Nothobranchius furzeri: one gene and its partners. The protein of the gene in region 1 interacts with the protein of each later gene in a pairwise test. Links are inferred from orthologs where the notes say so. Each region holds a gene or a part of one and is shown in the gene's direction. Other genes may lie near its edges. The genes, in order: sgta, ptn, tmub2, tmem174, syt11b, eva1ba and serpine1.

The links.
Region 2: the proteins of sgta (region 1) and ptn interact in a two-hybrid assay, tested with the Homo sapiens proteins (2 studies listed by BioGRID and IntAct). The link is inferred for Nothobranchius furzeri from reciprocal best matches to the Homo sapiens genes SGTA and PTN.
Region 3: the proteins of sgta (region 1) and tmub2 interact in binary tests that used the Homo sapiens proteins (3 or more experiments, as listed by UniProt). The two-hybrid records come from large-scale screens. The link is inferred for Nothobranchius furzeri from reciprocal best matches to the Homo sapiens genes SGTA and TMUB2.
Region 4: the proteins of sgta (region 1) and tmem174 interact in binary tests that used the Homo sapiens proteins (3 or more experiments, as listed by UniProt). The two-hybrid records come from large-scale screens. The link is inferred for Nothobranchius furzeri from reciprocal best matches to the Homo sapiens genes SGTA and TMEM174.
Region 5: the proteins of sgta (region 1) and syt11b interact in binary tests that used the Homo sapiens proteins (3 or more experiments, as listed by UniProt). The two-hybrid records come from large-scale screens. The link is inferred for Nothobranchius furzeri from reciprocal best matches to the Homo sapiens genes SGTA and SYT11.
Region 6: the proteins of sgta (region 1) and eva1ba interact in binary tests that used the Homo sapiens proteins (3 or more experiments, as listed by UniProt). The two-hybrid records come from large-scale screens. The link is inferred for Nothobranchius furzeri from reciprocal best matches to the Homo sapiens genes SGTA and EVA1B.
Region 7: the proteins of sgta (region 1) and serpine1 interact in binary tests that used the Homo sapiens proteins (3 or more experiments, as listed by UniProt). The two-hybrid records come from large-scale screens. The link is inferred for Nothobranchius furzeri from reciprocal best matches to the Homo sapiens genes SGTA and SERPINE1.

The regions. Positions count from the first base shown.
Region 1 is NC_091748.1:79,890,543-79,895,325, forward strand, and holds the start of sgta (small glutamine-rich tetratricopeptide repeat-containing protein alpha), read left to right. Parts: upstream 1-1,700; 5' UTR 1,701-1,840; intron 1,841-4,017; exon of another isoform or gene 4,018-4,262; intron 4,263-4,783. UniProt on the Homo sapiens protein: Co-chaperone that binds misfolded and hydrophobic patches-containing client proteins in the cytosol. Mediates their targeting to the endoplasmic reticulum but also regulates their sorting to the proteasome when targeting fails.
Region 2 is NC_091741.1:42,131,047-42,135,390, reverse strand, and holds part of ptn (pleiotrophin), read left to right. Parts: intron 1-2,534; coding exon 2,535-2,696; intron 2,697-4,344.
Region 3 is NC_091745.1:10,231,129-10,236,027, reverse strand, and holds the start of tmub2 (transmembrane and ubiquitin-like domain-containing protein 2), read left to right. Parts: upstream 1-1,761; 5' UTR 1,762-1,968; intron 1,969-2,717; 5' UTR 2,718-2,732; coding exon 2,733-3,376; intron 3,377-4,000; coding exon 4,001-4,394; 3' UTR 4,395-4,899. Other genes in the region: asb16 (ankyrin repeat and SOCS box protein 16), read left to right, coding at 1-204, 305-388, 823-933, 1,017-1,202.
Region 4 is NC_091746.1:66,616,785-66,621,665, reverse strand, and holds the start of tmem174 (transmembrane protein 174), read left to right. Parts: upstream 1-1,628; 5' UTR 1,629-1,637; coding exon 1,638-2,314; intron 2,315-4,881. UniProt on the Homo sapiens protein: Regulator of plasma phosphate homeostasis. Decreases serum inorganic phosphate (Pi) uptake by regulating the sodium-phosphate cotransporter SLC34A1 trafficking by PTH and FGF23 in the kidney.
Region 5 is NC_091745.1:59,981,776-59,984,894, reverse strand, and holds part of syt11b (synaptotagmin-11b), read left to right. Parts: coding exon 1-291; intron 292-1,059; coding exon 1,060-1,180; intron 1,181-1,727; coding exon 1,728-2,038; 3' UTR 2,039-3,119. UniProt on the Homo sapiens protein: Synaptotagmin family member involved in vesicular and membrane trafficking which does not bind Ca(2+). Inhibits clathrin-mediated and bulk endocytosis, functions to ensure precision in vesicle retrieval.
Region 6 is NC_091745.1:70,961,466-70,966,311, reverse strand, and holds the start of eva1ba (eva-1 homolog Ba), read left to right. Parts: upstream 1-1,705; 5' UTR 1,706-2,069; intron 2,070-4,846.
Region 7 is NC_091743.1:88,606,919-88,611,262, forward strand, and holds part of serpine1 (plasminogen activator inhibitor 1), read left to right. Parts: intron 1-3,596; coding exon 3,597-3,697; intron 3,698-3,992; coding exon 3,993-4,079; intron 4,080-4,344. UniProt on the Homo sapiens protein: Serine protease inhibitor. Inhibits TMPRSS7. Is a primary inhibitor of tissue-type plasminogen activator (PLAT) and urokinase-type plasminogen activator (PLAU).

The DNA.
Region 1 (4,783 bases):
CACATCACTGTGAATTATATTCACGAGTGAAATGGCCGTCATTGGCAATAAGACGACAAAATCATTGGTATGTTTTTATTTACAAGGCAGTGTTTGGATTGTTACCTCCTTATATTTGCACTTCAATCACATGAAAAAATTTTTGATTCCCATTCTTTAAGGTCTAACCATCAGTTGCTGCTTCCTGTTCCTTTTGCTCGCACACAGTTAGGAAAGAGCCCTCGCCTGCTCTGCTCCTTCCGCTTGGAACCAGCTGCAGAAAACCTGGAAAATGACTGAGCAAGTTTCACTAAATGCCTTCAAAACCAAACTGACAGCTTCAGAGATTGCATTAGTAACTTGTAACTGCTTCTAATGACTGAGTGTTTTATCATTGTCATGACGTTGTAACTGTTTGTATTTTTGCTGCCTCTTGGCCAGGTTCTTAACCTCAATGGGTCTCTATCCTGGTTAAATAAAGGTTTAAAAAATCTTTTAAATCTTCCTTTCATTAACTAGAGCACATAACCTAAAACTCTTAGCTGATGAGGTTCAGCAGCGAGAAACTCAACAATGAACACCTGGCAGGAAAAAAACCAAACTAAACAAAAACTTTGTAATTCCACAACAACCCTAACCTGCAGGCACATTTAAAACATCTGATATATATATATATATATATATATATATATATATATATATATATATATATATATATATATATATATATATATATATATATATATATAAACACATGTAGAATTGTGAGATAAATTGTGAATTATTTTAATTAAAACAACAACGTAAATATATATTTACGTTGTTGTTTTAATTAAAATAATTCACAATTTATCTCACAATTCTACATGTGTTTATATATATATATATATATATACATATATATATATATATATATATATATATATATATATATATATATATATATATATATATATATATATATATATATATATAACACATGTAGAATTGTGAGATAAATTGTGAATTATTTTAATTAAAACAACAACGTAAATATATATTTACAGAAAAAAATGAGAAGGTTGCCAATGAATCTTGTATTTTGCTACTTTTGAAGGGTTCATTATTCTGTAATTTTAAATGTAAGCCAGTCCACAAATGTCTGAATATCACCTCAGGTCAGGATTTTATGGTTAACGCTTCAGTGTCATCAATCCTAACTGAAGTCTGAAATAAGGTGTGTGCACCCTGGAGTCCGTGGTGAATGGATGACTCTCCAAGTGTTCGCTACTCAAGCGGGAGTTTGAATTTGGAGTCCAGCTGTGGGTTCTTAGGCTGAAAGGTCAAGCTTCTCATGGTTGCTGTTCTGACGCGTTCAGTGGAAACCGGTGGTCATAATGTTATGGATAATTGGAGTAAATGAACTATACAAACAGACCAGCAGGGGGCGATGTCAAAGGGAAAGTCGCGCTTCACGTAGTTTGTCCCTGTAGGGCCGCCGTAGCGCTGAAAAATACAAACGCCTTTTCCATCGTTTTAAAGGTGAGAACAACTTAACAGGTAAAGATTCCAGTTAAACACCTCAGATGAACCCGCTCACGCGCCTTTAGCTGACCGCGTCTTCAGGAGGAAAGCTGCAAAAGTCTGTCCTCATTTATTTCATTTCTGCTCGTCGGAGGCGGAAATGATTCGTTATGAGGATTTTAGAGACACGGTTATTAACTTTATCTTTACTTCCTGTGAGGCTCTGGAGCCTCAGCAGGACGCAGCTCCAGGTCACGGGCAGGCTCGTGTCCGGAGAGGTGGAGGTGTTTCTGCGGACCCTGGAGCTGCCTGAGCCCCGGAGGACTGGCTCGTTATCCGGACTCCTGCAGAAGGACAGGTGGGTAGGGACGAGCTTCCGGTTCGGTCCTGGCTGCAGGCTTTCCGCGGGGTCTAAAAAGTCCTAACAGCGTTGAATTTAGGAATTTGGAAATGATTCCTTAAAAGGTCTAAAATGAGTGCGGAACGTAAATGACCCGTACCGTGTTTGTCCTCTAGAGTTTCATTTGTCAACCACCATCATTTTTATATTACACCTTATTGTTTTATAACGTAGCATAAATAGAGTGGCGGAACCAATAATAGAGAACCGCCTCGGGTCTAAATACTCCGAACACGTGACGTATTCAGCTCCCGCGCTACAGCAGCGATCCAAAACGGTAAACACACACCGTGTGTGTGTGTGTGTGTGTGCGCGTGCGCGTGGACCACACAGACCTCCAGCAGAGGAGGAACATAGAACATCTCAGCTCATGAGAAAGGCTGACTGACGCCTAGGGCGGGTTCCAGAACTCTGGACCTCTTTGGGACTGAGTGGAAACACTCGTAGGTCCCAGGGCCGGATTAACACTTTGTTACCCTGGGCAACAATATTCAAGGGCCCCATCATAACAACCCAAGAATCACCACAATATGGTCACATACAGAATATTTTACTGTAATATGCAGTAAATATACTCAATACTTGAATGCCTGACATCACGTAACCCGCTCAGGGTAACCTTTGACCCACCTCGTGTGGACTGACCAATGAGGAGAGGGTCTTAACTTGAGGCCCTCTCTTCTGGTCCAAGCTCTTTGACATTAAGTTTTCCACCATAGTTCTCCTCTCGAACGGATACTGGAGAAGAGACCGAACTGAATTCAGTGGCTGCTGAGATCCGGTATCCATGCTGGTTGTAGTCACCGGCGGCGTCCATGTTACATCTGCGTCACGACCAAAAACGTGCTGGAGTAGTCGAGACTCTCCGAGTTCTACCGAATACCAACGAAAGCCTTTGGCGGTAGCTCTATCGCCCATCATGCTTCTGAATCGACGTCGACGCTGATTGGATACATTCCCATTCCTACCGTTTGATTTTCTTGTCAGCAATTGGCCGGCAGCTTCCGTGCTGTTTGGGCGATTGAAACACAGCCTACAGCCTTTCTGTCGCCTCCACCGCTCGGCAGAGAGCTTCTCACCAATATAGATATATACATATATGATTTGTTTTTGTTACAAATCACACAATTAACTTAGAATATGTGATTATTGTTAATTTTATTTATTTTTTTTTAATTAAAATTAAAAACACTGGGGAAAACTGGGAGGGCGGCGCCCTATCACCCTCTACTGGCCAGCCGCCACTGAAAGCAGGAGATTACAGATACAGTATTTTGCTCTTGCCCTTGCTGCCCTGGGCCCTTTAGAGTTCATGGGCCCCTGGGCAATTGCCCAGTTGCCCATATGGTTAATCCGGCCTTGGTAGGTCCCAAATATCAGAAAAAAGTGTTAAAATGTCCCGATGTGCCACTGCAGGTCACATGACTGATCCCGGGTCACGTTATGAGTGGAGCAGGCGCGTCTCCTTTCAGCAACATTAACTAGAAAACAAACGTTTGGGTCGTTTAGCTAAAGTACGCAGCAGCTAAATGCATCAGCAGGAATAGCAGCAGTTTCACCAGCACCTGGTCGTGCAGGGCGGCATCTTAAGAGCTGGAACATGGAACGTCTCTGACTGCAACCAAGTCAACCCGAGTCCATCACCTTCCCAAGCCCTGGAGGAGTGTGAGGATGGAGGCTGATGACAGCAGACCTGGCTGCTGTTATAAAAGCAGTTCAGCAGGTTGTTGTTAACTGCTGTTACTGACATGAAGTCAGCACTAATGAAGCTGCTTTATTCATGTTTACATGTTGGGCCTTTACTGTTTGCACTGCAGCTTTGCTGGAATAAAGTATAATATCAATAAATATAATAAAATAATATAAAGAACACAACCTTTAAGTACTTTGTTATCCTCTCTTCTCGCCATCGTTAAAGTAGTAGTATGAATAAGTACTTCATGGTACCCAGCCCCACTGATGCTGTTATAGACATGTGTTACGTTTAGGGCTGCAACTAACGATTATTTTCATAATCGATTAATCTGTCGATTATTTTTTCGATTAATCGATTATCGGTTTGTTACTGTTTAGCTATTTAACCTATACAAGTGATGGATGCATTTCAGTTAAGAAAAAAAAACATAAGAGAATTGTGCAGTTGACTGCAATCTATTTTATTGCACATGAACACAGTCAGCAGTAGAAAATGAGCTAAACAGTGCAAAATATCAGTCCAGAATAATTTTTTAGCATTAGCTGGAAGCCTGCTCCTTCCACCATGGATAGTGGCCTCATGTCTTTTACCAGCATGTTTAGAATAGAGTTTGTAAGTGGTATGCATTGCTGGGGGGTGAGTGTCTTCTTCCCCATGTAGTTGTCCATCGTTGCTTGTTTTTTTCTGCATAAGAAACACAAATAGACTGAAATAAGTACACATATAAAATAAAGCAGCACACACACTACAACACTAAATCAATGTTAAATTATTTGAATTAATTAACAATATACAGTGATCATTTATTTTGAGGGTTACGTTCTACAAAATAGCCCGCAACAGGAGATATTAAGAAAAAAAGTCTAATTTTTTTACTATTAAAAAGCTCAGAGTAAGAAGCTCATGAGGTTTTTACTTTGAGTCGGGAGTGTTTAAATTAGCTAGAGAAATGTGAAAAATGTTTATTTTGTGTAATACTGTTTAAGAAACATGATAAAAATGTGTTGTGAGGCGTTTTACAGCGTTAGACAGTAAAACAGCCTTTTAATAGTAAAAAAATGACTTTTTCTGAATTTCTCCTGTATTTAAAAATTGAAAGCGTACAACTATGCCGCGTTATATTCACCTGGACACAGCTTGTCTGTATATTTTTCACCGCAGAGTTGTCCTTTTTTGAATGAGGAACATAGTTATGGGTTTGTGCC
Region 2 (4,344 bases), on another chromosome or scaffold:
TGGTCTTCCACAAGGAGCAGTAATTCCGCTTGCAAAAACAAACAAGCAAAAAACGCTTGGACAATTGATAAAGCGAGCGCAGCTCTGAGGGCATCCATGATGCCGGCTAGTGTAAACACAGGTCGCACACGTGATGTCAGCATTTTTTGTCGCGGAAAGTGACGTTGCGGACCTTAAAACTCCGGTTTTGTCCGTCCACACGCAGACACCCAAAACGGAGAAAACGCAGATCTTCACTTTGGCCGGAGTTTTTAAAAAGATCCGTTTTCATGTGAAAAAACTCTGTTTTCGTGTGGATGACAGGCCAAAACGTAGAAAAATATCTACGTTTTGGCAGATCCCCGGCTACGTGTGGACAGGGCCTAAGATCTTAAAATGTTTGGATTTTTATGTATCCTATTTGCTCTTATTGCTCTACCAACCTCTGTGTTGTTTGTAATGATTGTATCCCTGTTTTTTTTACTTGAAGTTGTCCTTGGTTTTGAGAAAAGTGCCCTCGAATTAAAGGGGCATTATGGAAGTTTGACAGCCAAAACATGTATAGAAATAATAAATGTCTTCTTCTTACATACTCCTGCAATGCCCAGGTCCTGTAGAATGAGCCCTGGCATTTTTACTGTGATCGCCTGTTTTTCTGTGAAATCACAGAAAAAGAGAGATGCTCGGGTCGAGCAGGCTGCTTCATGCGTGTTCATGCTCAGGCATAGCCCGTAGCATTTGCTATCAGTAGCTTTAGCAGCAGAGAGAGAGGTAGTGCCACTTTGTCAATGTTTTTATTTGAGACTCTCCGAACGGCATTGAATTCACAGATAAAAAAGATGTGGGTTCAACTTTCATTTTGGAACAATTTTTCAAGCAAGGGAAGGGAATGATCTGAGCATGCAGGAGGACTGACCCATCTTAAACCTTTGTCGGCTGTGCTGAAGAGAAAGCTACAGAACCAAATTATTTAATTAATTAGCTGCGCGTTCTCCTGTCCTCCCCCCCCCCCCCCCCCCCCCCCCCCCCCCACACACACACACACAATGGACTGTCTCAGCTGTTATTTTCGTTAAGGAGTGTGCACGTACAGCATGCGTGCCTCGTGCACGAGCCTACTATTGAAGCTGCTGTTACACTTTTGGCCTGAGGGGGCAATCACAAGCATAAAAATTCAAAAATCCGTTAAGTCCCTTAAAGTGTATTATTATTATTATTATTATTATTATTATTATTATTATTATTATTAGAGTTGTGGGGAGGGGAGTACAGGGATTGGCCTGGCATATGCCAGTCTTGGAATCTGATTGGCCACCCCAGGAGCCACCTGACTGAGCTCACTGAAGTGGCTCATTAACCACCACAGCAGCTGCAAGAAGAAGAAGAAGAAGAAGAAACAATGTGGCGTTCATGAAATCACTTAAATGAAAGAACTGAATAATTTTGCCCCCCCCCCCCCCCCACACACACACACACACACACACACACACACACAAACAAAAAAGCATGACCATAGGTGCCACCATGCATAAACAAGTGCCCCACCAGGGGCCCCGTATGGAAAGGCTTGGGCACGCCACTGTTAGCCGGACCAAAAACAGAGAAAACATTTGTAACTGAATGACTGCAGAACAGTACTAATGGTGCTTTATTGCATTGTTACTCCTGATAAATCTACTTTCAAATACTCAGCAGTGTCTTACAACCTTTAATATATTTCTTCACGTCACCTCAAAGAAGGCATTAGTTTCCTGACAAAACCTCAATGAGCGGGGAGCTCTCTATCTCTCCCAGACATAAATTACGCCGGGCTTTTTAAAGTTGGTTGCTCAGGAGGTCCCTGTGGGATTCCTGCAACAATGGCCCTGTCACTCCCTCTCTGCGCTCTCCTTCCCTCGGTGTCCTCACCTCTCCTCCTCGCCTCTGATGAGCACTCTGGGATCTTGGCAGCGGTGACACGAGCTTTTATGTGAGAGGGAGCTGACGAATGAGTGTCACAGCCTCGAGGGAGCACAGCTGGACTGACGCCAGAAAATAAAGGAGAAAATACGCAAACACACATGCTCTCTAAAGTCACGTCTATAGCGTGCACCAGCTTCTGCATCCCTTTTGACTGTGTGGATGTGCAACAAGAATATGTGCTTTCATTTTACTGATCAGCAGCTGAAGATTGGATCTGCCTTTTTCAAGATGGAGAAACTAGTTTTCCCAATTGCATTCATCAGTTGGCGCATGTCGTCATGTAAGGAACATCAGATCAAAACTGTAAGGTGCCATCTGTTTCTACAGGGAAAAACATCCTTTGTTGCAGAGATAAGCTTCTTATGAAGTCGCTACATGGAGGTATCAGCCAATTGCTCATCAAAGAGCCATTAAAGGTCTATGACTCACAAATCCCTTAGCTCAGAGCGCTCCTTACAGTCAGTCACTGCAGTTAAAACAAATATAGAATCAGCCTTGTGTCGTTTTACAAGCTTTTCTGTCAGTTCTGTCCTTTTTCAGTGCTTCACTAAACCAAGCCATCTGAATTCTGCTTTTCTTTAATTTTTCTTTAGGGGAGTGCAAGTATGACTTCCAGGCCTGGGGGGAGTGTGATCTGGCGACAGGCAAGAAGAACAGGACGGGGGTTCTGAAGCGAGCACTGATGGACGCGACCTGCGCCGCCACCGTCACGGCAACCAAGCCATGTGGGAAAATCCTAAAGACCAAGCTGCAAGGTGAGAAGAATAAATCGTGGTTTGATAAACCCAAACCCCTCGCTGCACACTTTGAGCTCATCTGCAGCCTCATGGACTCGCTGAAGCCATGCTGATGAATCACAGTGTCTGCAAAACCGTGGCACCAGGGTCTGAAAAGATAATTGAGGTGTACTGCTCAGCATTGATACACTTTTAAATAATATACTTAATCAAATGTGACTTGGACATTGCTTGGTGTCTGACTGTACCTGCGGAACCTCCTGCACTGATTTTGTTTTCTTCATCTGCACTGAGGAGGTGTGTCTAATCAACTCTGCTGCCATTGGCTGAATGTGAGCAGGCAGTACAAACAGTCACCACATCATTCTGGAGCAGAAATGACTTTGTGCTCAGACCAAACAGTCTCATGAGTAAGAATTTATCACATAGGAGCAATCATCAAGTTTCAAGAAAAACACACTCATCATACAGAAAATAACAGAAAAAAAATCACTCCTTCATCTTCTAAAACTCTTCATCCTCAGCAGGGTAGTAGTGTCTAACTCCAGCAGTCAGCGGGTGAGAGATGTGGTACACCTTGGACGAGTTTCCAGTCCATCGCGGAGACAAACAACCAGTCACACACTCACACCAAGGGACAAGGAGTGCCCAATCCTGGTAGCCTGGCAAGGCATCCTATATATGTGAAAATAGAGTCCGGCCATGACCCATAAACAGAGCAAAGTCATGGGACAAAATCTAGGGTTGTCTTTCAAACTGTCTCCACATGCCATTGGACAATGAATAATGTGACGTACTCAACACTATGGATGTAAGTCTACGGGTCAGTCTACCACAGACTGTCAATGGAGATGCAAATACCTCCTGTATTGTGTCAGGCAGCACTGAGACATCTACAATTGGTCCAGAATTTGGCAGCCATATTCCAGACAGGGATGAGGAAATCAGCACACATTACTCCTGTGCTGGCTTCATTACACTGGCTCCCTGTAGGTTTTCGGGCTAGGATGAAATTTCTGTGCTATGTCTTCCGGTTTCTTCATGGGAACCCTAATGGAGTGTGACTAAATCGAAACGCAGAGCAAAATCATTTTGCTTCGCCTCCTGTCTGTCTAGATTTCTAGGCTACAATCCTGGTCCTAGAAGCCCACTGTCCAGCATGCTTTAGTTATTTCTGTGCTCCAGTGTATCTGACTCTATAGTTGAATCACCTCTTCAGCAGATCACAAGGTTCTGCAGAAGTCTGTTAATCACCTGCTGGTTAAAATCAGGTGTGTTGGAGCAGAAACACAACTAAAACATGAAGGATAGTGGCCCCTCCAAGAGGCAGGGATCGGTTTTTTTCACCGTTGGGAGGAAAGTGGAACACCTGGACGAAACCCATGTATAGAGGGGAAAAACATGCTCTCCATGGAGAAAAGCTGCAGCTGGGATTTGACCTTCTGACCTTCTTGCTACAAGGCAACAGTGCTTCCAACCACATTGCCACACAGCCCAGACAAAAATATTCATCATCTATCAGTGAAAAGGACCTCAGATAAGAAAAAAGGTTAAGTAAAAAGTTGCATTAAAATATCATCAGGAAATGTGAAAACAGTTCCAACTGATCCTGTTGCCTCCAAATTATGAGGTTATGTTCCTCTTAAAGATGCTCGAAGTTTGACTG
Region 3 (4,899 bases), on another chromosome or scaffold:
GAAGCAGGGCGCTATCTTCGAGTGATCCAGAAGCTGCTGGGTGCAGGAGCTGATCCCCAAACTGCGGGCAGGAAACGGCACACCCCGCTGCACAACGCCTGTGCAAACTGCTGCTCCAGAATTGCAGATGTTCTCCTGCTGCACGGAGCTAAAGCCGACATTAAAAACTGTGCAGGGTACACTCCAATGGACTGTCTGTTGCAGGTAGCTGACATGAACATTTAACACTGCATGTGCAGTCACCATAGAGACAGTCAGAGATGTTTTATTTAAATAAAAACAAAACTTCTGCTTGGCTCTAAAGGTGGTGGAAGACTACCAAACCCAACAACCTGAGGAGATAGCGCGATCCCTTCTGAACCACGGAGCCAAACCTGTTTCACCAAAGGTTCATGCAGACAGCCACACTGCATAAAAACACAAGCTTCACTTAGTTTTTATTGTTGGTTTTTACAAATATGTGCTCAGTTGATGATATTCTACCCTACACTTCGGTGAACTAAACACAAACTATAACATCTATTTTTTTTTTTTACAGAAATATGATTTTTGTTCTTTTTTTTAACATTTTTGGCTCATTTGATTGTTTTGTTTTCTCAGTTAATAGATTATCTGTAGACCATTTCACTCTATTTGATTGTTCATTTTATACATAAATACTTTTTGGAAACAAATGTGTGAGTTTAATTTTACTCTATTAACAAGGCAAACACAATGCAGCTTATTTAAAGAAAGCCAGTGAATGCTTTAACCTCTCTTTATTGCAGCTTGGCTCTTTGTCAGCGTTGTTATGGGATATCGATGTCATTGCTGTCTTTGCAGATGCTGAAACTCTGTGCTCCGGTCCCTGCCGTTCTAGAAGTGATGCTGAATTCATACATGTCCCTCCCTCCATGTGAATGGATGGACTCTCTGTCTGATGAGGTGTATGAGGTAAGATGTGTGACAGGATATAAATGAACTCTCTTTTTGATTACCCTCCACACTGTGGGTGTGTTTCTGCCTCTGTGTCTCAGGAGCACGGGCCTTTCTTAGACTTGGTGCATCAGCGAAGTGCCTCGCCTCGCTCCCTGCAGCATCTGAGTCGACACGCTTTGCGGCTGCATTTAGGAGCCCGATGTCACTCAGCTGTCGGGAAACTGGACATTCCCAGCTCAGTGAGGGATTATCTGCTGCTGTACAATGATGGGACTCTAAAGTAAAGTTTTAATGTTTCTGTGCCATCTGTGGACACATTAGACAAGTTATATTATTGTTTATCATTGGTAAAGCCATTTTCCTGACTAATCTTGTATTTACATATAAATCAATGCTTTTATTTCAAAGTGGGAATAAATAAATGCAATAAATTTAAGCTTGTTTCCTTTTCATCACACCATTTTCCAAAAAGTAAAAAAAAAGTCACTTTTAAAAACAGACATTTTAACCTTGGCTACATAAAAAAACTGCATACTTTTAAATTGTCATTGTGGCTTTTTATCCACCAACAGGGAGTTTTATTTAGACATGTTTAGAGTATATTTAGATGGAAACATTTCATTCACACTCTTACCTTCAGCCACACAGCGTTTGACAGAAAACCTAAAATAAATTCCTTGATCCGACTTTTGCTGCTGGAAATAGTGCACCCAGATGCATTGTGGGTATAATCGTGCCCTGTGAGCAGAATCAGCTGATGTGTGAAGGGAACCGGTCTAAAGACCTTCAGCGAGCCTGAAGAGCTGAAGTCAGATCAGAAACCTCCATAAACACCAGGAGAAGTGATGATACCATCTGCTCTGACTGTCACAATGTAGTAAAATAAAGAAGCAACAAGCTAATCTCGTTACCATAACAACCGGTTCCTCCTTCTGTTGATGACGTCGCACCGCCTGCACTGTTTATTCTTGTTTTCTTTTTTTTTTAGCCGCAGCTGCTAACTAGAACTGAATCTGGTGTTTAGACATGCTCTGACTTTACGGCTGACAGGTAAGACTTCTCCAGGTAGACTGGATTGGGGGACTGTAGGTGTCCACTCGATGCCTGCGTTTAATGTGAAAACTGTTGCGGCCAAAGTAACCGAGTTATGCGGTTGTAAACAGCCGAAGGTCGTTTTTTTCAGACAGCCAGCTAGCTAGCTAGGCTAACTGGAGGGCTAAGTTAGCTTGCTAGCAAAAACTACAACATGACAGTTTAGCAGAACAGTAAATCTGCTTTTTATCGTCTGGTTAAAGACTGAATGTCAATAAACATAAACGTGGTGTAACGTTGTTGTCAAGTAATGTAATTAGTTTCTAAGCTTAGACCTGGAGAGCTTTACTGACATCTGCTACTGTCACTTCCTTTGTTTTTACGTTAACGACTATGCGTTTTAAATTTACTCTTTAAATGTTTATATATTGAAATATACTACTTTTAGGATTCAAAATAACCTGGGTTTGAGTTCGTTAAATATCTACCATCGTTTGGTGGAAAACAGGGTTTTCGGGAAATACCTGCAGCAACTTCTGAGCCTTCTCTAAAAGACCGTCACGATGGTTGAATTCTGGTGGTTTCTGCTCTTGAAACCAGGGGACAACAAGTTTGCGTCCCGTTATATTTTTCCACACATCGAGTGCAATGTTAAATTTTAGTGGCAGATGTGGACTCGAGTTAATATGTAGTAATGCAAATGCTGTGGTTTCACTTGGCCTTGTTCCCTTTTTGAGTCATATTCCTCATATTCACGTCTCTTGCAGGATTGGAGGACAGGGATGGCAGTCTTTGCACTGACCATGATGGATGGGTTGGGGGATGAGGTAGCAGCAGCGGGGGGCATGTTGCTCCTTGGCTTGGCCCTCATCTTGGCTTGGCTTTCCACCCACGTAGCTGATCGAGGAGACCACATACTGGGCACCATCCTCACAGTGGGCGCTCACGCCTCTCTCATAGGACTGGGAGGTCACGACAACTACAGCGGAGGGCCCGCTGGCGCCGATGCCCCTGAGCAGCAGACCCCTCCACCTTCACAGGAAAACAAGCCAGACGACAGTGAGCCTGAGACTGAGAGAGGAGAGGGTGAGGGGACAGGAGAAGGAGCTGGAGCTGAAGGGGTGTGGACCGATCTTCTGCTGGACATACAGAGCAAAAAACCTCAGGCTGGAAGGCTGCATGCTTCTGATGGAGAGGAGGATGAACGTGATGAGGTGGAGGAGGATGATGATGATGAGGAGGAGGAGGAAGTGGAGGATTTAAAACGGGTAGATAAAAAGCAAGTAAAGCCTACACCAGTTCTGACCAGAACCATCATCGCTACCACTGGGACGACTACCTCCATCTCTGTTCGGTTGAAGTTTTTAAATGACTCAGAAGAAGTGGCTGTGGTGGAGCCACATGATACAGTAGGAATATTGAGAAGGTTTGTAAAGAAACAAAACAAATACCTCACAGCTAATCCGACATTAATTTCATACTTTCAAATGACATTCACAAACACATCTGCAGGTCCTTAAAAAGTCTTAAATTTGCTTTTCCAAATTGAAGGCCTTAATAATCCTTAAAAATTACAAATAATCCTTAAATAGTTTCCAACGGTCTTAAATTACCAAAGACCCATTAAACAAGATTCTTATATTTCTGTAAAATTTTCGTGAATTTCTAGTTCAGCATTTTTTGTGTACGATGTTGGCGTAAGCGGAACCGTACACGTTCGGTTGGTTGTGAAAGGGGGCTATTTTTAGATGAGCATGCTAGTGGGAGCTTGCGCCATGGGGAAGTGCAACATTAATGGTAACTGGATGGCTAATCTCACGTTCACGACGTGGTTAGCACTGGTTCCAGGCAATAGCTGGAAATTATAGCTTAAATTTAATAAAAAAAAATTGCTTAAATTTGGTCAAAGTGGCCTTAAAAAAGGTCTTAAAAAGTCTTAAATTTGGCTCCTTTAAACCTGCAGATACCCTGTAACAGATTTGAGCTGTCTGCAGCTTGTTTGCTCAACATTAAGACCTGTTTGTTTTATTTTATCCGTCTTCTATTTTAGCAAATGCTTTCCTGGTCGGGAGCATCAGATCAAATTGATCTTCAGAGGCCAGTTGCTGCAGGACCCCAAGAGGACTTTGTTCTCCCTAAACATCACAGACAACAGCGTGATCCACTGCCACATCACCCAGTCCATGCAAGAAGCTAGCCTGGAGGAGGGGGCTCAGCCCGGGGCAGGAACAGGGGTCTCTTCTGGGCCCTCGGGAGGATTGAGAGCTGCAAGTGTGGCCATCAGCACCAGCAGCCTGGTGGTGCCTGTGTTTGTGGTGATCCTGGCTGTGGTGTGGTACTTTCGTATCAACTACAGGCAGTTCTTCACCGCCCCTGCGACCATCTCCCTTGTGGGAGTCACTGTGTTTTTTAGCTTTCTCATTTTTGGGATGCACAGCCGCTGAGAAGGCGGCGACTTGGCTCTCACATGCAGTAAAATATTGTAAAGCTTCAAATAAAAGAAGAAAGATGAACTGATGCTGCAACAAGGTGAGCCTGTTAGGAAAAAGCTGTACTGTTTAAATGCAGTTAATAAGGATTAACTGCACCATTATTTTTTCAGTTAGGACTATGTGGTCACCACCATGTTTAAACACTTAGTCTCATATTTAACTGGTAGAATTTCATGAAACTTGCTTGAGCGAGGTTCTGGTTTCTAAACAAGAACTCCTTTAAAGCCACTGACTGTTGCGCATCGCCACTTTGACTCATATTATTTGAATGAATAGAAACAAACAGTGCAAACGCCTGCGAGCGAGCCCAAGACTTGCTGCTTTGTAGAAATATGCTCATTAAAGCATTTACTCAACACGTTTCGGAGAAAAATCTGTATAAATGTTTCTTGTAAATAATAAGTTAGCATCAGATGAAGCGATGTCTGGCTCTTACAGACTCCTCCTGGTTATACTG
Region 4 (4,881 bases), on another chromosome or scaffold:
CATGGGAACATTTCTTTTACCTTAGCAGACATCTTGGATCAGATCCAGTTGAATCTACAAGCATGAACTGTGTGTAATGGTTCTAGCTGTGAAGCTAAAACACCCGGTAATATGGAATGTTTCTAAGCCCTTCGCCTCTGCACACTTGCTGAGCCTCAGCAGCACGAGTTGCTGATAATAAGTTATGCACAACGGCGCAGTCAGACAACATATCTGCAGGAAGTGAAGTGTAACCCTTCAGATCATGCCTGCAGAGTTTTCAGTGTTTGACCTTTCTCCCCGCAGCTCCTCAAGCAGACCATGAACAGACATAAGGGGGAGTTTACATCTGGTGCTAACATGACTTCTGGCTGATCCACTCATGGTTGGACACCTCTGAGTGTATTGGTTTGTACAACACACGTCCACATGCATTTGGAGTGGCCACATGTGATCAGATTTTCTTTCCCCTCTCGCTATCAGCAAATAAACACGAGACCAACATTTCCAACAGCTTGCTCCTATCCTCTCAGCCGTGGAGTTTTGTAACGTCCTTTACTACCGTGCTTTGTTGGAGATGACAGAGCGGCGTGAATCATGGTTTTGTGAAGGGATTCCTATTCCAGCCTCATCACTTCCCGTATTGACTACTGCAACGCTCTTCTCTTCGGTCTTCCTCACAAAACCCTCCGGAAACTCCAACTTCTCCAGAACTCGGCAGCCCGCATCATTACCAGAACTCCCTCCTTCCACCACATCACCCCTGTTCTTCAGCAGTTCCACTGGCTCCCAGTCACTTCCAGAATCCAATTCAAAATTCTGCTATATACATTCAAAACCATCCATAACCTAGCTCCACCGTACCTCTCAGACCTCCTTCATCCTTCAACCTCCACCCGTTCCCTCAGGTCCTCCTCCTCCATCCACCTCTCTGTCCCACCTCTCCGTCTGGTCACTCTGGGGAGCAGGGCCTTCAGCCGCTCTGCTCCCCAGCTCTGGAACTCACTCCCTCCTGACCTCCGTAACATTGATTCCCTCACTCTCTTTAAAACCAGACTCAAAACTCACCTGTTCCGTCTAGCATACCAATAATTACTCTCTTTGCTCCAATCTGTCTGTTTGTTTTATGCTGTTTTATCTTTTATTGTTGTGTATTTTATCTCTGCCTGTAAAGTGTCCTTGAGTGTTTAGAAAGGCGCTGTTGAAATAAAATGTATTATTATTATTATTAGTTTTCAGCTTTAGGGGGTTTAAAGTTATTGTTTCACCACAAGGAGGCTGCAGCCCCACTTTACCTGTTAAATCCACAAATGTGTGAGGAACAGCTTTGTGATCTGTCCTTGTGAAGTCAGCATGAATGAGTGCTAATCTTTCTCCTGCACTAATGTCAGCTTCTCCATCTTCTCCTGTGGTCCTAACACTGCCCAGTGGTGTCACATCTTATCTTAGTTAATTATTTACAACAAACCAAGATGCATTTTATTGACTTCATAAACTATTTAATAATCTGACCATTTCAGTCAGAAGCCACATCATTCTGACCCCCCCCCCATGTTTACGTGACTAACGGGATGCAAAGCAGGTTAACCTGTGACTTGTTCTCTTGGCTGTAAGCATTCAGAGTTACTCAGTGTTCATGCAGCTGAACTCACTGTTCCATGCGGGACACAGGTTGTCCCAGCTTGAGTGTTTACACACTCAGAGAGCTCATGCACCAACAAGGACGTCAAGACCGCTGGACCAACATGGTTGGACAACGACCTGAGTTAGAGACCAACAATGATGCTCCACGGCCACAGCTGTCTGAGAGTTTGTTGGATGGCGAGAAGACTGCAGCGGCCTTGTTGCTATCCGGAGTCCTCCTCGCTATGGTGGGTGTCACCTTCACTTCGATGGGCTGGCAATACTACCAAGCTAACCTCAGCTTCCAGTGGACTCAGCTTCTGGGCCCTATCCTGATCTCAGTTGGTGGTACCTTCTTGCTCACCAGCGTCTGCAAGTTGAGGTTCCTTTCTTGCTGCAGACAGCAGGAAGAGGAGGTTTATGTGATACCCGTCAGAGAACAAGGCTCTGGAGGACACCCTGTAGTGGTTCGCAGCATTAATTCACCAGAGATGCTCCCGAGTGCTGCTGCAATGCTTTGCATTCCACCAACTTACAGCTTCATTACCCAGGAACTGTACCAAGGAAATCAGCTGCAGCCTGGTACGACTGTGAGTGGAGTTAACACGGGCCCTCCGACTTATGACACTGTTTGCTGTGCAGGAAATGCTGGATTCACTGCAGAAGACAGCGCAGCCCACACCTCACAAACAGGCCAGAAGAGGATAAGCCGGTAAAAAAATTCATAAACGTGTCTTTGTAAGGGAAAATGCATCATTTCCCTCATTCTTTACATGAGTTCCTGTTAAAAGACTCATTCACCCATTTTTTCCCTAGTAAATATGTGGTCTTGAGTGTTAATGAATGCCTTGTGAGTCATTTTCAGTGGGGAAAAAAGCTCTGGTGCTTCGGTTTTAATAATAATAATAACAATAATGCATTGAACTTATATAGCACTTTTCTAGACACCCAAAGACGCTTTCACACACTCTCACATTCACACACTGCTAGTGATGGTAGGCTACTTTGTAGCCACAGCCGCCCTGGGGAGGTCTGACAGAGGCGAGGCTGCCATTTGGCGCCGTCGGCCCCTCTGATCACCACTAACACAGGCAAGTTGGGTGAAATGTCTTGCCCAAGGACACAACAGCAGGATACCCCTGGCGGGAGCTGGAATCGGACCCATGACCCTCCGATCATGAGGCAACCCGCTCTACCACCTGAGCTACTGCTGCCCCGTTTTAGGAAGTAGAAGTTTTTCAGAGGAGAAGGGGTGGACAAAGAGGATTATGAGTCTAACTCGTTACTTTTCACGATATGCAAATATCTAGTCTCTGATTGGCTAACAACAGCACAACTCTTCTGCTGCCTTTAACAAAGTCAGAACACTGTAAAACACATGTTCTTGGGTAAAAATTAAAGTTGATGTCTTATCTCCACAAATTCTTCATGCCCGAACTGGTTCTGCCATGTTGTGGAGTTTCTAATGCTAACGGTAAACTTCTACTCGCTGAGACGCGCTCTGCTCTCTCCTGGATGCAAAATTACTACAACTTTCTTTGGTCACAGGCCATGGCGGGCGAGGATATGAATGCTAATATTCCATGTGACATGAGAGACCGGCTCCGTTTCCCATCTATTTTCTTTCTGCGGGGGTTGAAAAAATGTTGACATTCAGTGTGAATATGCAAATCAGTAACCAATCATATTTCTAAAAGAGCAAGTGTCACACGGTTTCTCAACATTTAAGGCCTCCATTAATGAAGACGTAATGAAGATACGTGTCAGAACCTGGATGGTCTTTGTAAAGTCTTTACAAGGTGTTCCGGCTTTTATTAAAAGCCCCATGGCCTCCCTATTAACAGGGCGGGGAGGGTTTTGAGCAATATTCTGTCTCAAGGAGGTGGTAATTAAAAATCATGAGCCGTGTTTCCACTATAAGAATTCTGGGAAATTCTTGGATGGGATACAGAGTTGCTGCGTCTCCATTCAAACTCAGCCCTTGCTGGACTTTGCTAAGGCATCCGCATTTCCCGAATGCTTCAGCAGTGATTGATGTCACTGATCAGAGTCAAAAAGCTTCCACAGACATTATTGACTTTAAAAGTTTTACTCTGTTATAGTTCAGCACAATTTAATTGAGTCGGAATAACCGGGAGAGCTGTTGAATGATGTGAAATGACCAGAAGAAGCGTCATTTATAATAAAACCCTGTGAATTTTGTCGTTTTGGGGGAATTTCCGCTGCATTTATTGGTGTTGGGAGTTTGGTAATGGCAATGTTAAAGCAGCGTGAACACTCTTTTTCTTTCTCTTTTATTCCCATCACCAGCAACTTTTCAAACTTTACAAATGCTAGTTGTTAGCTAAAAGTTCTGCTCAGCGACTCTACCGGGTCATTCGAGGTACTTATGATGACGACCCGCACTTGTATAGCGCCTCTCAGAGTAAGGACTCCAAAGCGCTTTACACTACAGTGTATCATTCATCCATTCACACACACACATTCACACACCGATGGTGATGTGCTACAATGTAGCCACAGCTGCCCTGGGACGCACCGACTTACCCCTGTTTAGATATAAGACATGCCCAGAAACTGGTCCTTTTGGCTGGGCCGTTGAAGTGGAAACACGTGCGTGCCGTGAAGTTCCAGTAAAATTATCCTTCAGTTCCATTAATGGAAACACGGCCATGGTGAGAAGTGTACACGGGCCAAAAGGGACCATGGAAGCAGCACATCTATGATGTGTGACCCCAATGGCCCTGTGTGACTCCGGTACTGGGAATGTGTGTTGGCTAAGATCCTGTCACACCATGACATACCAGCTCAGTGGCCCAGTTGTATGAGTGAAACTGGGAGATTCAGATTCATGTTTGGGTCATATCACTTAAACAAACGGGACCCGATGCCTCCCTGCTTGACACTCAGCTTTAAGGGGTCGGATTGGGGGAGAAATGCAGCACGACCTTTGGAAAGCCCAGGGTATAGCATGGTTTGTTGTGATTGAAGCGGCAACCCTTTTTGACCCAACTGGTAGATGTTGACAACTGCTATGGTTGACGTAGGGATACATTTCGATAGAGAGATGAAGTTGCCAGCACCTTACGCCATGTTGGTTCTGGTTCCTGTCACACAAAGAGAGTAGCACAAATACTTATATTTCCTCAGCTGTTCCATAAAAGAAACTTTTAGCCAATGGGAACGATCGAGGGCATCTATTAAAATAATCACCCCACTGGGATATCACATCATACCAGTGACCTTTTTCAGCATGCACATGCTTCGTAAAACAAACAC
Region 5 (3,119 bases), on another chromosome or scaffold:
GCCGGCAGCTCCGACCCGTATGTGAAGATGACCATCCTTCCTGAGAAGAAGCATCGCGTGAAGACACGTGTGCTGAGGAAGACTCTGGACCCGATCTTTGATGAGACCTTCACCTTCTACGGTGTGGCCTACAGCTCGCTGCCTGAGCTCACGCTGCACTTCTTGGTCCTCAGCTTTGACCGCTTTGCCCGTGATGATGTCATCGGGGAGGCCATGGTGCCACTGAAAGGTGTGGACCCGAGCACTGGTCGGGTCCACCTGAGCCAGCAGATCACCAAGAGGAACATGCAGGTGAGTTCAGACCTCCTTCAGCACCTCAGACTCAACACTTTACATTTTTTCTTTTACTGACATTTTGGGAAAAGGTCAAAGGTCATTTAATTCAGCTAAATGGTGGTCCTGCTGAGATTCAGCGTTGAGTTGGACTCAATAACTCACAATCATCTTGTCAGTGTGGCGCCATGTGAAAACACTCCTCTGCCGTTTCTGTCTGATTGACTGATGCTTCTGTCAGCTGTTACCATGGCGACTGGTTGGTCCAGACAATCAGCTGCTGTGTTCTGGTTTCATCAGGTTAGTGTCGGCTGGAATCCTGCAAGGTTTAGGCCTCGTTACAGAAGAATGTGTCTGCTGTCCAGCTGGGGCTAAGTCACTAGGCTTCATTGTTTTATCATGCTTCATGTTATCGGTATTGAAGACGCCACAAGTCGTGATCACTTCAGCTCCCCTCACTACTTAACCACCTGATTAAGTCAATAGCCTGATGTAAAAGTCCCCGTACAGGTCAGCCATGTTTGATCTGAGTAAAGTAAGCTTTTATTAGCCAGGCCTTCTGAGTCTCTTCTCTGGCGTCATGCTGCTCATCCTGGTCCTCTACTGGCTCCTGTTGGTCAGCGAGGACCAACTGACTCTCAGGAAACGTCCCATGAACATCTTGGTGTTTGTTTTTATTCAAAAGAAAAGATGCGGCAGCTGTGAGTTTATGGTGTCTAAAAGTTCTGAGAGAGAAACTAACAAAAGAAAACAGGCCCAACTCACTTACTCCTGGTTCTGTTTCAGTGTGAGAGTCGTGGAGAGCTGCTGGTGTCCCTGTCCTACCAGCCCGTGTCCCATCGTCTCAGCGCTGTGGTTCTGAAGGCCCGACACCTCCCTAAGATGGACATCAGCGGCCTGTCAGCCAGTGAGTAGAACCAGAACCAACTCAGCTCAGGCCCAGGTGAAGGAACTCTGTCAGTATAAGAGACAGAAACCCCAGGTGGACGGTTGCCACCATGATCCTAATCTGACCCACTTCTTTGCGCTTCATCAGCCTTAGAACTGGTCGGAAATCACTAAACTGGTTCCAGATCAGCATCAACTGATCCCAGGAACCTTTTCCATCAACATCAGGTTGAAACGGTCTCTTAGGACTCTTCATTCCTTCTTCTTCTCTCAAACCTTATGTCCTGTGTGGCAGAAAATGACGTCGCATTAAGTTGTGCAGGTGGAATAATGTTCAGCTGCCCTCCTGATTTTTTTCTCATTTAATATTCCTTCATCTGATTTCCTGTCCTGATCCCTGCAGTGAGGGGAATTCCCTCCTGGGAACCAAACAAAACCACATCCTGTGAAGCTCAGGGCTCAGACCAGCATATAGAGAACCACTCAGCTAAAGGAGGATGACTCCAGAACGTCTGGTATTTGAGCAGAAAACCTAATGATCTGACACATTCTTCTCCTGCCATCAGATCCGTATGTGAAGGTGAACGTCTTCTATGGCCGTAAGCGCATCGCCAAGAAGAAGACCCACGTGAAAAAGTGCACACTGAACCCGGTCTTCAACGAGTCTTTCATCTACGACATCCCACCAGAACTCCTGCCTGAGATATCTGTGGAGTTCCTGGTGGTCGACTTTGACCGGACCACCAAGAACGAGGTTCTGGGCCGCCTGCTCCTCGGTCTCCACAGCCCGTCGTCCTCTGGCACCTCCCACTGGAGGGAGGTGTGTGAAAACCCCCGCCGGCAGATCTCCAAATGGCACAACCTGAGCGAGTACTGAAGGAGGAGAAGCTTCAGGAACCAGCTGATGGCACCGAGCAGCTGGGACTCCACCAGTGAACCCCCACTGGAAACAAACAGTGTACAGCACATACACACACACACACACACACACACACACATATACACACACACACACACATACACTCCTGCAGCACACACACTGTTGTGGTGATACTTAAACTCTTCGTCTCTATTATCTCTTTACAAACACGACATTTGCAAGTGTAAGAAGATTCCTGCGGTTCTTTTACTAAACAAAAAACAAACAAACAAGCGGCCCATTTCAGACACTGTCCTCGTGTCTCCTCTGGCTGTGTGTGTGTAGACGGGGGAAGGAATGCTCTCGTATAATTAAAAACTAAAAGTTTACTTAAGAAAAAAGAAAAGATCCCCTCTCGCTGTCGTTGTCATGCACTTCATTGCATGTCTGTCTGAAAAGAAGAAGTAAACCTGAGTGATGATCTGGGAGAAACCTCAGCTCCATAACAACATAACCCAACACTGACTATATCCAGTAGAATTACTCCTCAGTATAAGAACTGGTGCTGACGCCCTCGGACATCCCGCTCTGACGCTTCTCCGCGCTGACTAACCTCCTTCTCAGAAGGTCTTTGATTTAGTCGTCAGCATGCTTCCCGTCTGCAGCGGTCCTGCAGAAACGCGGCGTCCTGATCCAGAACCACAGGAAGTCACAGTCCGTCCCCACATTAGCTCCAACTCTAATGTGGACTCAAACCGGTTCACATCTCCTGATTCCTCCACCTCCGAGTGACGGCGGCTAAAATGTGATGTAAAAGTCTGAAGCAGTGGGCAGATGTGCTGCAGATGTCTTAGAACAAAAAGCTGCTCAGAAAAGTTGACCAAAGCTCCTGAAAACATTCAGCCTTTTTGTTCCTTTTTGTTACTTTTCATCAAGTCCTTTTATAAACACACACACACACACACACACACACACACACACACACACACACACACACACACACACACACACACACACACACACACACACATCTCTGATTCTTTATCATTGGGGTTTGATGAACTTTGTAACATTTCTAAAGATGCTTCAAGTCTTTAGA
Region 6 (4,846 bases), on another chromosome or scaffold:
GTTCAGAGGAAGCTGATTTATGATGTTTTGCCTGTTGTTTTTTTTTCTTTCTTCCGAAGCATGCAGCGTTAGTGTAAACAGCCTGACACTGCACAAGCTGATTACAAGTGAGGCAGATGGTTTCCATACCAAGGGAGTAGTGTTGAAGCATTCCCCTGTCGATGGGAGGCCTGAAGAATGTGTGCTGCTTGGTTGCACTTTATTTGCAGACGTGACTTTGTCTAATTCGTGCATTCCCTAATTTTTTGGGTGTAGAAATACTATAGGTCTGGACCTTTACTCATACGTTAATACATTTGCAGAGATCTCTAGTGGAATAAATGTCTTATAAGTCCTTCTTTAGGGGACAAAAGCTCTGGTGCGCCTGTTAGATAGCCTGGCAAGCCATCCTATTTATGTGAGTAGTCTGGCCGCAACCCATAGAAAAAGTTCAGCTGAGGGGCAAAATCTATGGTTTTCAAACTGTTTCAGCATGCTTTTGGACAACGTGACATACTCACCGCTACTGATGTCAGTCAATGGGGCAGTCCGCCATACACAGTCAAAGAAGACACAAGTACATCATTTTTCCAAATAAAGGGCACAAGTACCTCTATCTGCTCTTGACTCAAAGAAAAGCACAAGTCTTTTCATTTCAAGTCGATTCAAATGAGCCATCTTTGTGGTTTCGCTCTGTCGCATCGCCACTAACAAACAGAACACTGTGTTTAGGCTCCCAAACAGACAGTACTTTGAATGGCTTCCCAAACAGCTAAAATGCTTTGATTGGCCCCCAAATTGATAAAGCACTGTGATTGGCATGCCACCAGACTGGTCAGGGCTACAGAGGCTCCAATGGACCATGGCTAGACCGACATGTAGAGCAACATTATTTTTCTCTGGCAACTGTCTGTCTAAATTTCTAGGCTACCTGGCTACAGGCTACCTGTTTGAGGAACTAGAAGTGGGCCAGATCAGAGTTGAGCTGAAGACAGCAGGATTTGGAGTCTTATTTCCTGATATTGGGTTAACTGCAATGCGACTCTACCACTGTTTTATCTCAACAAAAAACACAAGCCTGAAGGAGTTCTGCCTTGTTGCTAAAGCTAACAGTTAGCTTCTACTAGTCGAGACGTTCTCTAAAGTTTCTTAGAAGCTAAACCAGGCCACAGCCTTCCCTGTTGTCGGTCAAGATGGGTGAGTCCATGAATGTTAAGTGACAATGTGAAGTAGATCTGTCAGGCTTTGTAATAATAATAATAATAATTACAATAATTGTACTAATTTTCCAGCCTTTCATTTAAAGGTAATCTTCACGCATCGCTCCACCAAGAATGTGTTTCACCAGCCGTCCACCACTGGAATTCAGCCAGCTTTATTTGACATGTCAGCGATTTATTCTCATCTGTGTCTAATGGAAGGTGTTTTGTTGAGTTTGCTGTTGCTAAAAGAAAAAAGATTAACTTCGTTCTGCACATCAGATCTTGTTCAGCTCCTTGTTGATAGAAGTCAGCCTTTGCCGACTTCAGTTGTTTACTCTAAAGGTGTGAATGCATGCAGAGGATATGACAACTTGTGACAACACCCCTCCTCTGGCATACAGCCACCGGCTTTAACCTCTGTCATAAACAAGGCTGGAGAAGCGAGCATTCACTCCCCACAGACACTCAGTCATAATGAAATGCTTTATGGCTTTACGACAATTTATTTATGGCACATGCATGACCGTTTATTCCCTTTTGACACAATTTCTGCCCTTTTACTGGGATGTGTCAAAGTCCTTGTTCCCAAGTAAACATCAGCTCATGTTGTTATCACAAGTGTTTTGTGTGCTGACTAAAAGCTGCAGGGGGTTTGTTCCGGTAGAAGAGGTAGACGACCAGCGGGTGGAAGCGCTGACCGCCGTCCAGATGGGTGCCTCTGGTCAAAGCTGTTGATTTAGTCAACCATGAGTCAACAGTTCCCACAGAGGGGGATGGCAGGATGGAGAGCACAGGAAGCGCGATGGTGATGAATGATTACATGGAGCTAGAGCTTGTGTCATGGGGGCCAACAGGAAGCAGATGCCTGAATGGTTCAGAGGGACAAAAGTGAGTGATGTGTACCAAATATTATGGGTGTGGAGTGCTGTAACTGTAGCACTTTTAGAGTGATTGTGCGAGATTGTTATTTTGCAGTGCAAACACAATGTCTTCTAGTTTATTCTTAAAGGAAAAGAACAGTGAAAATTCTCTTGATGATATAGATCTTCGTCCCCCCTCCCCCTGCCACACCTGGTGTGAGGGGTTGGGCCTTGGTCTGCCTGAGAGTTTGTGGCAACCGGGTCTGGGGGTTTAAGGTTTTGGCATCTGCCTGATAGATCCCGGTGGCTGCCTGGTGGGGTCTGGGTCCCTGGGCTCTGCTGGGTCCCCGGCAGGGGTGGTCGCCCCTGGGTCCCGGGCTCGGCCGGCTAGGGGGTGGGAGGTTGCGGGCGGGCCTGTGGCCTTGCGGCTGATGTCTCCCGGGACTCTGCCGGCTGCTGGTTGTGGCCCCCCGGGGCGATCCTCTGTGCCTCTCGGGGGGGGGGGGCTTTCTGGTTGCAGTCTCCTTGGGGTTCCTGTGTTCTGGGGCAGCGCCTGGATCTCTGGGACTTGGAGCTCCCCCATCTCCTGCGCATCTTTGGGGGGCAGATCTGTGGTCCCTCACACTCTCTGTTGGACGCTCCTACAGAGAAACCTTAAATAAACAAGCGCATGTACACACACAGGTGCTCACATGGTGCTCTCAAAAGTATGGGTTTGGGCACGAACATATTTTTTACGAATATATTTTTTCATCAAGTTGACGCAGTGATAGCTTGATCTTGTTGTATTGTTGTTGTGTCCCTTTTTTGTCCTTTTGCTTTTTTTTCTGCAGGTCTAGAAGCAGACTCTTGTTCATTGTTTATTTTTGTGGACCCCCCCCCCCCCCTCCTCTCTCCCCACCTTTTCTTTTCCTTTCTCTTTCACCTCTGTCTCCGTGTCTGGTCGGAATTACAAAGCATTCAAAAACAATAACAATAAAGTTTTAAGTATCAGGCGTGACATTAAAAGCAGATGCTTTGATGCTCCACCTGAGAGTAAATCTGTAAGGCTTGTCACCAGCATTCAGACATCAATTCTGCTTGCTTCACAGCCAGACAGGACACGGTAAAAAAAAAAAAAAAAAAAAAAAAGGAAAAGAACAGTGAAAATCTTGTGAATTTATTTGCTATCTTTTGATAGATGAATTTTTTTATTCATTTCACAAAAGCATTTTCCTGGCAAGCCATCCTATATATGTAAATACGCTGCCTGGCCCAAAAATATTTTACCACCAAGAGAAACGATCACACACTCCAATATTTTGTTAGACCGCCTTTAGTTTGATTATAGCACACATTCGCTGTGGCGTTGTTTTGATAAGCTTCTGCAATGTCACCAGATTTATTTCCATCCAGTGTTGCATTCATGTTTCACCAAGATCTTGCATTGATGATGGTAGAGTCTGACCGCTGCACAAAGCCTTCTCCAGCACCCCCCAAAGATTCTCAATGGAGTTATGGTCTGGACTCAAAACCACTCTTTCACCATCTGAGCCCGATGAATCCTGGCATTGTCATCTTGGAATATTCCAGTACCATCAGGGAAGATGGAATAACCTGGTCATTCAGGATATTCAGGCAGTCAGCTGACCTCATTCTTGGAGCACATCCTGTTGCAGAACCTGAACCTGACCAACTGCAGCAACCCCAGATCATAGCACTGCCCCCACAGTACAGTAGGCACTAGGCATGATGGATGCATCCCTTCATCTGCCTCTCTTCTTACCCTGATGCACCATCTCTCTGGAACATGGTCCATCAGTTTTTAATAATGCGTTGGACAGGTTTTAATCCAGTTCTAGTCATTTCTGCAACCTCCCTTGATGTTTCCTGGACAGCAGTAGGTCAGGAGGTAGAGCGGGTTATCGGAAGGTTGCAGGTTTGATCCCGGCTCTAACCAGAGAATGCTGCTGTTGTGTCCCTGGGCGTAATGCACTGTGACCACGACCCATAGACAGAACTCAGACATTGGGGTGGAATCTATGGTTGTCTTTCAAAATTTCTCCACATGCAATTAGACAGAACTAGGACCAATCAATGCAAGGAAAAATATGGCATATTCATAGTGATGGAAATCAGTCAATGGGGCCGTCCACAATACACTGTCAAAGAAGAAGTAGAAGAAGAAAAGGTATCTCTCTTCGCTCATGCCTTTGACAAAAGCCCAGGTCTAAATTATCTAAATTTAATGCTAATGTCACCTCCATTATTGTTGTTTCGTTCCGTCACAGCTCTGTTGTCCTTGTATAAAAAAAGAAAAAGCTCTGTCGTAATGGGGCTAGACAGCCCAATGTTTCTCTACAAACATAAAGCGCTGTGATTGGCTCGACCTAAACTTAGCCTAGTCAATGACCTAGCCTAGCCTAGACCTGCTGAGGCCACGATAGAGCATGGCTAGATCGACCTGCAGAGCTAAATCTTTTGCTACTGCTCTGTTTTGTCTAGATTTCTAGACTTCGAAAGCATCACTTCAGTCACCTTTTCCCATCATCCTCTCATCTGACCTGTTGGGTCCTGTCCACAGAATGTTCTCTGAAGTCAACCTTTTAACATGCTGACTTCTAACCTGGCTCTCCTCCACACACCCCATCAACAGCTGTGTAGCTGTGTTATTATCTCGATTACACTCCTCCAACACACTCCTCTGGGCCCAACCTTAAAAAAAGAGAGAGAGAGAGGGGAGAAAGAGTAATGGCTTTAGCTTGCATCGTTTAGGCTCAAACACATTTTTCCCTTTCTTATCTTCAAACTGCACACCCTTGTTTG
Region 7 (4,344 bases), on another chromosome or scaffold:
AAGACTGTAACTGGAGATTTAACAGAGACACTTTATAACAGTGTAACTGGAGACTTAACAGAGACACTTTATAACACTGTAACTGGAGACTTAACAGAGACACTTTATAACACTGTAACTGGAGATTTAACAGAGACACTTTATAACAGTGTAACTGGAGACTTAACAGAGACACTTTATAACACTGTAACTGGAGATTTAACAGAGACACTTTATAACAGTGTAACTGGAGACTTAACAGAGACACTTTATAACACTGTAACTGGAGATTTAACAGAGACACTTTATAACAGTGTAACTGGAGACTTAACAGAGACACTTTATAACACTGTAACTGGAGATTTAACAGAGACACTTTATAACAGTGTAACTGGAGACTTAACAGAGACACTTTATAACAGTGTAACTGGAGATTTAACAGAGACACTTTATAACAGTGTAACTGGAGACTTAACAGAGACACTTTATAACACTGTAACTGGAGATTTAACAGAGACACTTTATAACAGTGTAACTGGAGACTTAACAGAGACACTTTATAACACTGTAACTGGAGATTTAACAGAGACACTTTATAACAGTGTAACTGGAGACTTAACAGAGACACTTTATAACACTGTAACTGGAGATTTAAAAGAGACACTTTATAACAGTGTAACTGGAGACTTAACAGAGACACTTTATAACAGTGTAACTGGAGATTTAACAGAGACACTTTATAACAGTGTAACTGGAGACTTAACAGAGACACTTTATAACACTGTAACTGGAGATTTAACAGAGACACTTTATAACAGTGTAACTGGAGACTTAACAGAGACGCTTTATAACAGTGTAACTGGAGACTTAACAGAGACGCTTTATAACAGTGTAACTGGAGACTTAACAGAGACGCTTTATAACACTGTAACTGGAGACTTAACAGAGACACTTTATAACAGTGTAACTGGAGACTTAACAGAGACACTTTATAACACTGTAACTGGAGATTTAACAGAGACACTTTATAACAGTGTAACTGGAGACTTAACAGAGACGCTTTATAACAGTGTAACTGGAGACTTAACAGAGACGCTTTATAACAGTGTAACTGGAGACTTAACAGAGACGCTTTATAACACTGTAACTGGAGACTTAACAGAGACGCTTTATAACAGTGTAACTGGAGACTTAACAGAGACGCTTTATAACACTGTAACTGGAGATTTAACAGAGACACTTTATAACAGTGTAACTGGAGACTTAACAGAGACGCTTTATAACACTGTAACTGGAGACTTAACAGAGACACTTTATAACACTGTAACTGGAGATTTAACAGAGACACTTTATAACAGTGTAACTGGAGACTTAACAGAGACGCTTTATAACAGTGTAACTGGAGACTTAACAGAGACGCTTTATAACAGTGTAACTGGAGACTTAACAGAGACACTTTATAACAGTGTAACTGGAGACTTAACAGAGACGCTTTATAACAGTGTAACTGGAGACTTAACAGAGATGCTTTATAACAGTGTAACTGGAGACTTAACAGAGACGCTTTATAACAGTGTAACTGGAGACTTAACAGAGACGCTTTATAACAGTGTAACTGGAGACTTAACAGAGACGCTTTATAACAGTGGAGACTTAACAGAGACGCTTTATAACAGTGTAACTGGAGACTTAACAGAGACGCTTTATAACAGTGTAACTGGAGACTTAACAGAGACGCTTTATAACAGTGTAACTGGAGACTTAACAGAGATGCTTTATAACAGTGGAGACTTAACAGAGACGCTTTATAACAGTGTAACTGGAGACTTAACAGAGACGCTTTATAACAGTGTAACTGGAGACTTAACAGAGACGCTTTATAACAGTGTAACTGGAGACTTAACAGAGACGCTTTATAACAGTGTAACTGGAGACTTAACAGAGACGCTTTATAACAGTGTAGCTGGAGACTTAACAGAGACACTTTATAACACTGTAACTGGAGATTTACCAGAGATGCTTTATAACAGTCTAACTGGAGACTTAACAGAGACGCTTTATAACAGTGTAACTGGAGACTTAACAGAGATGCTTTATAACAGTGTAACTGGAGACTTAACAGAGACGCTTTATAACAGTGTAACTGGAGACTTAACAGAGACGCTTTATAACAGTGTAACTGGAGACTTAACAGAGATGCTTTATAACAGTGTAACTGAAAATTTAACAGAAATGCTTTATAACAGTGTAACTGGAGACTTAACAGAGATGCTTTATAACAGTGTAACTGGAGACTTAGAGACACTTTATATCAGTGTAACTGGAGACTTAACAGAGATGCTTTATAACAGTGTAACTGGAGACTTAACAGAGATGCTTTATAACAGTGTAACTGGAGACTTAACAGAAATGCTTTATAACAGTGTAACTGGAGACTTAACAGAGATGCTTTATAACACTGTAACTGGAGACTTAGAGACGCTTTATAACAGTGTAACTGGAGACTTAACAGAAATGCTTTATAACCGTGTAACTGGAGACTTAACAGAGATGCTTTATAACAGTGTAACTGGAGACTTAGAGACGCTTTATAACAGTGTAACTGGAGACTTAACAGAGATGCTTTATAACAGTGTAACTGAAAATTTAACAGAAATGCTTTATAACAGTGTAACTGGAGACTTAACAGAGATGCTTTATAACAGTGTAACTGGAGACTTAGAGACACTTTATAACAGTGTAACTGGAGACTTAACAGAGATGCTTTATAACAGTGTAACTGGAGACTTAACAGAGATGCTTTATAACAGTGTAACTGGAGACTTAACAGAAATGCTTTATAACAGTGTAACTGGAGACTTAACAGAGATGCTTTATAACACTGTAACTGGAGACTTAGAGACGCTTTATAACAGTGTAACTGGAGACTTAACAGAAATGCTTTATAACCGTGTAACTGGAGACTTAACAGAGATGCTTTATAACAGTGTAACTGGAGACTTAGAGACGCTTTATAACAGTGTAACTGGAGACTTAACAGAATTGCTTTATAACAGTGTAACTGGAGACTTAACAGAGACGCTTTATAACAGTGTAACTGGAGACTTAACAGAAATGCTTTATAACAGTGTAACTGAAGACTTAACAGAGATGCTTTATAACAGTGTAACTGGAGACTTAACAGAGATGACAGATTCTGTCTGTTAGGATAATTAAGTCCTTTAGTGAGAGGCTGATGATTAGTCATTAACACACACACACACACACACACACACACACACACACACACACACACACACACACACACACACACACACACACACACACACACATCTGAAAGGAGCCTTCCCAAGGCCTCTGGTGGTCAACCTAATCTTTGTGACTTTCCACACCTGGTAACTGACGCTGCTCGACAAACAGTGAAGACTTTCTCTGAAAGTGTGTGTAACTCTTCTTTCCTAAGCCCAGCGATAGGTGTTCCTCTTGTCTTTTAGCCTCTCAAAGCCAGACTATATAAAAAAGACTTGAAATTAAACAGATCCACATTAACCTGTTGAACCTGTGAATGGAGAGCAGTAGGCATAATACACGTCACTGATTTCTATTTGTTGTGTCAGGTTTTCTCTAAACTCTGAAGTGGATCTGAAGGCTGCTTTGATCAAAATGGGACTTGGAGACATGTTCAGCTTGGGTACCGCTAACTTCACACATATAACACGTGAGTTGGTATCTCAGGAGATTTAGTCGGGTATCAATGGTCTGCCATATATGTATTTTTCTCTGTTTGTATGTTTAAGCCCAAGATCTTCAACAAATTGCGTCTATAACATTATTTCTGTCTTAAACCTGTTAGTAGTTGTCTGTTTGAACTCTGACATGTTCATGAGTTTATCAATAATAATTACATGTTATGAAATAAAATGACATCCTTGAGCCACGCCAAAGCCAAATGATGCAGGTGAACTCTGAAAGATGACACTGGGAGCTCATAGCTTCTTGTTTATATCTTACAGCCAATGAGAGGCTGTGTGTGTCAAAGGTCCTGCAGAGAGTGAAGATCGAAGTGAATGAGCAAGGAACAAATGGAGCATCGGCTACAGGTAGGCACAGATTATATCAGCTGGAATAAATTGTTGGATTCTACAGACTCTTAACACTCTGCAAGGTTCTTCATCAACCCTGAATGCAGAGCTGAACTGCTCCTCAACGCTCTGAGGTTACAAACACATCTAAGTTGAGCTATGGCAATAATTCAGCTAATGCCTTAACCAGAGCCTTTATCCTTGTTTACATATCTGTTAGAAAGACAAAAAATTGAATTAAGTGTATTCAACACCTGCAGCTTTTCGTGTCGGCACTCTTCCA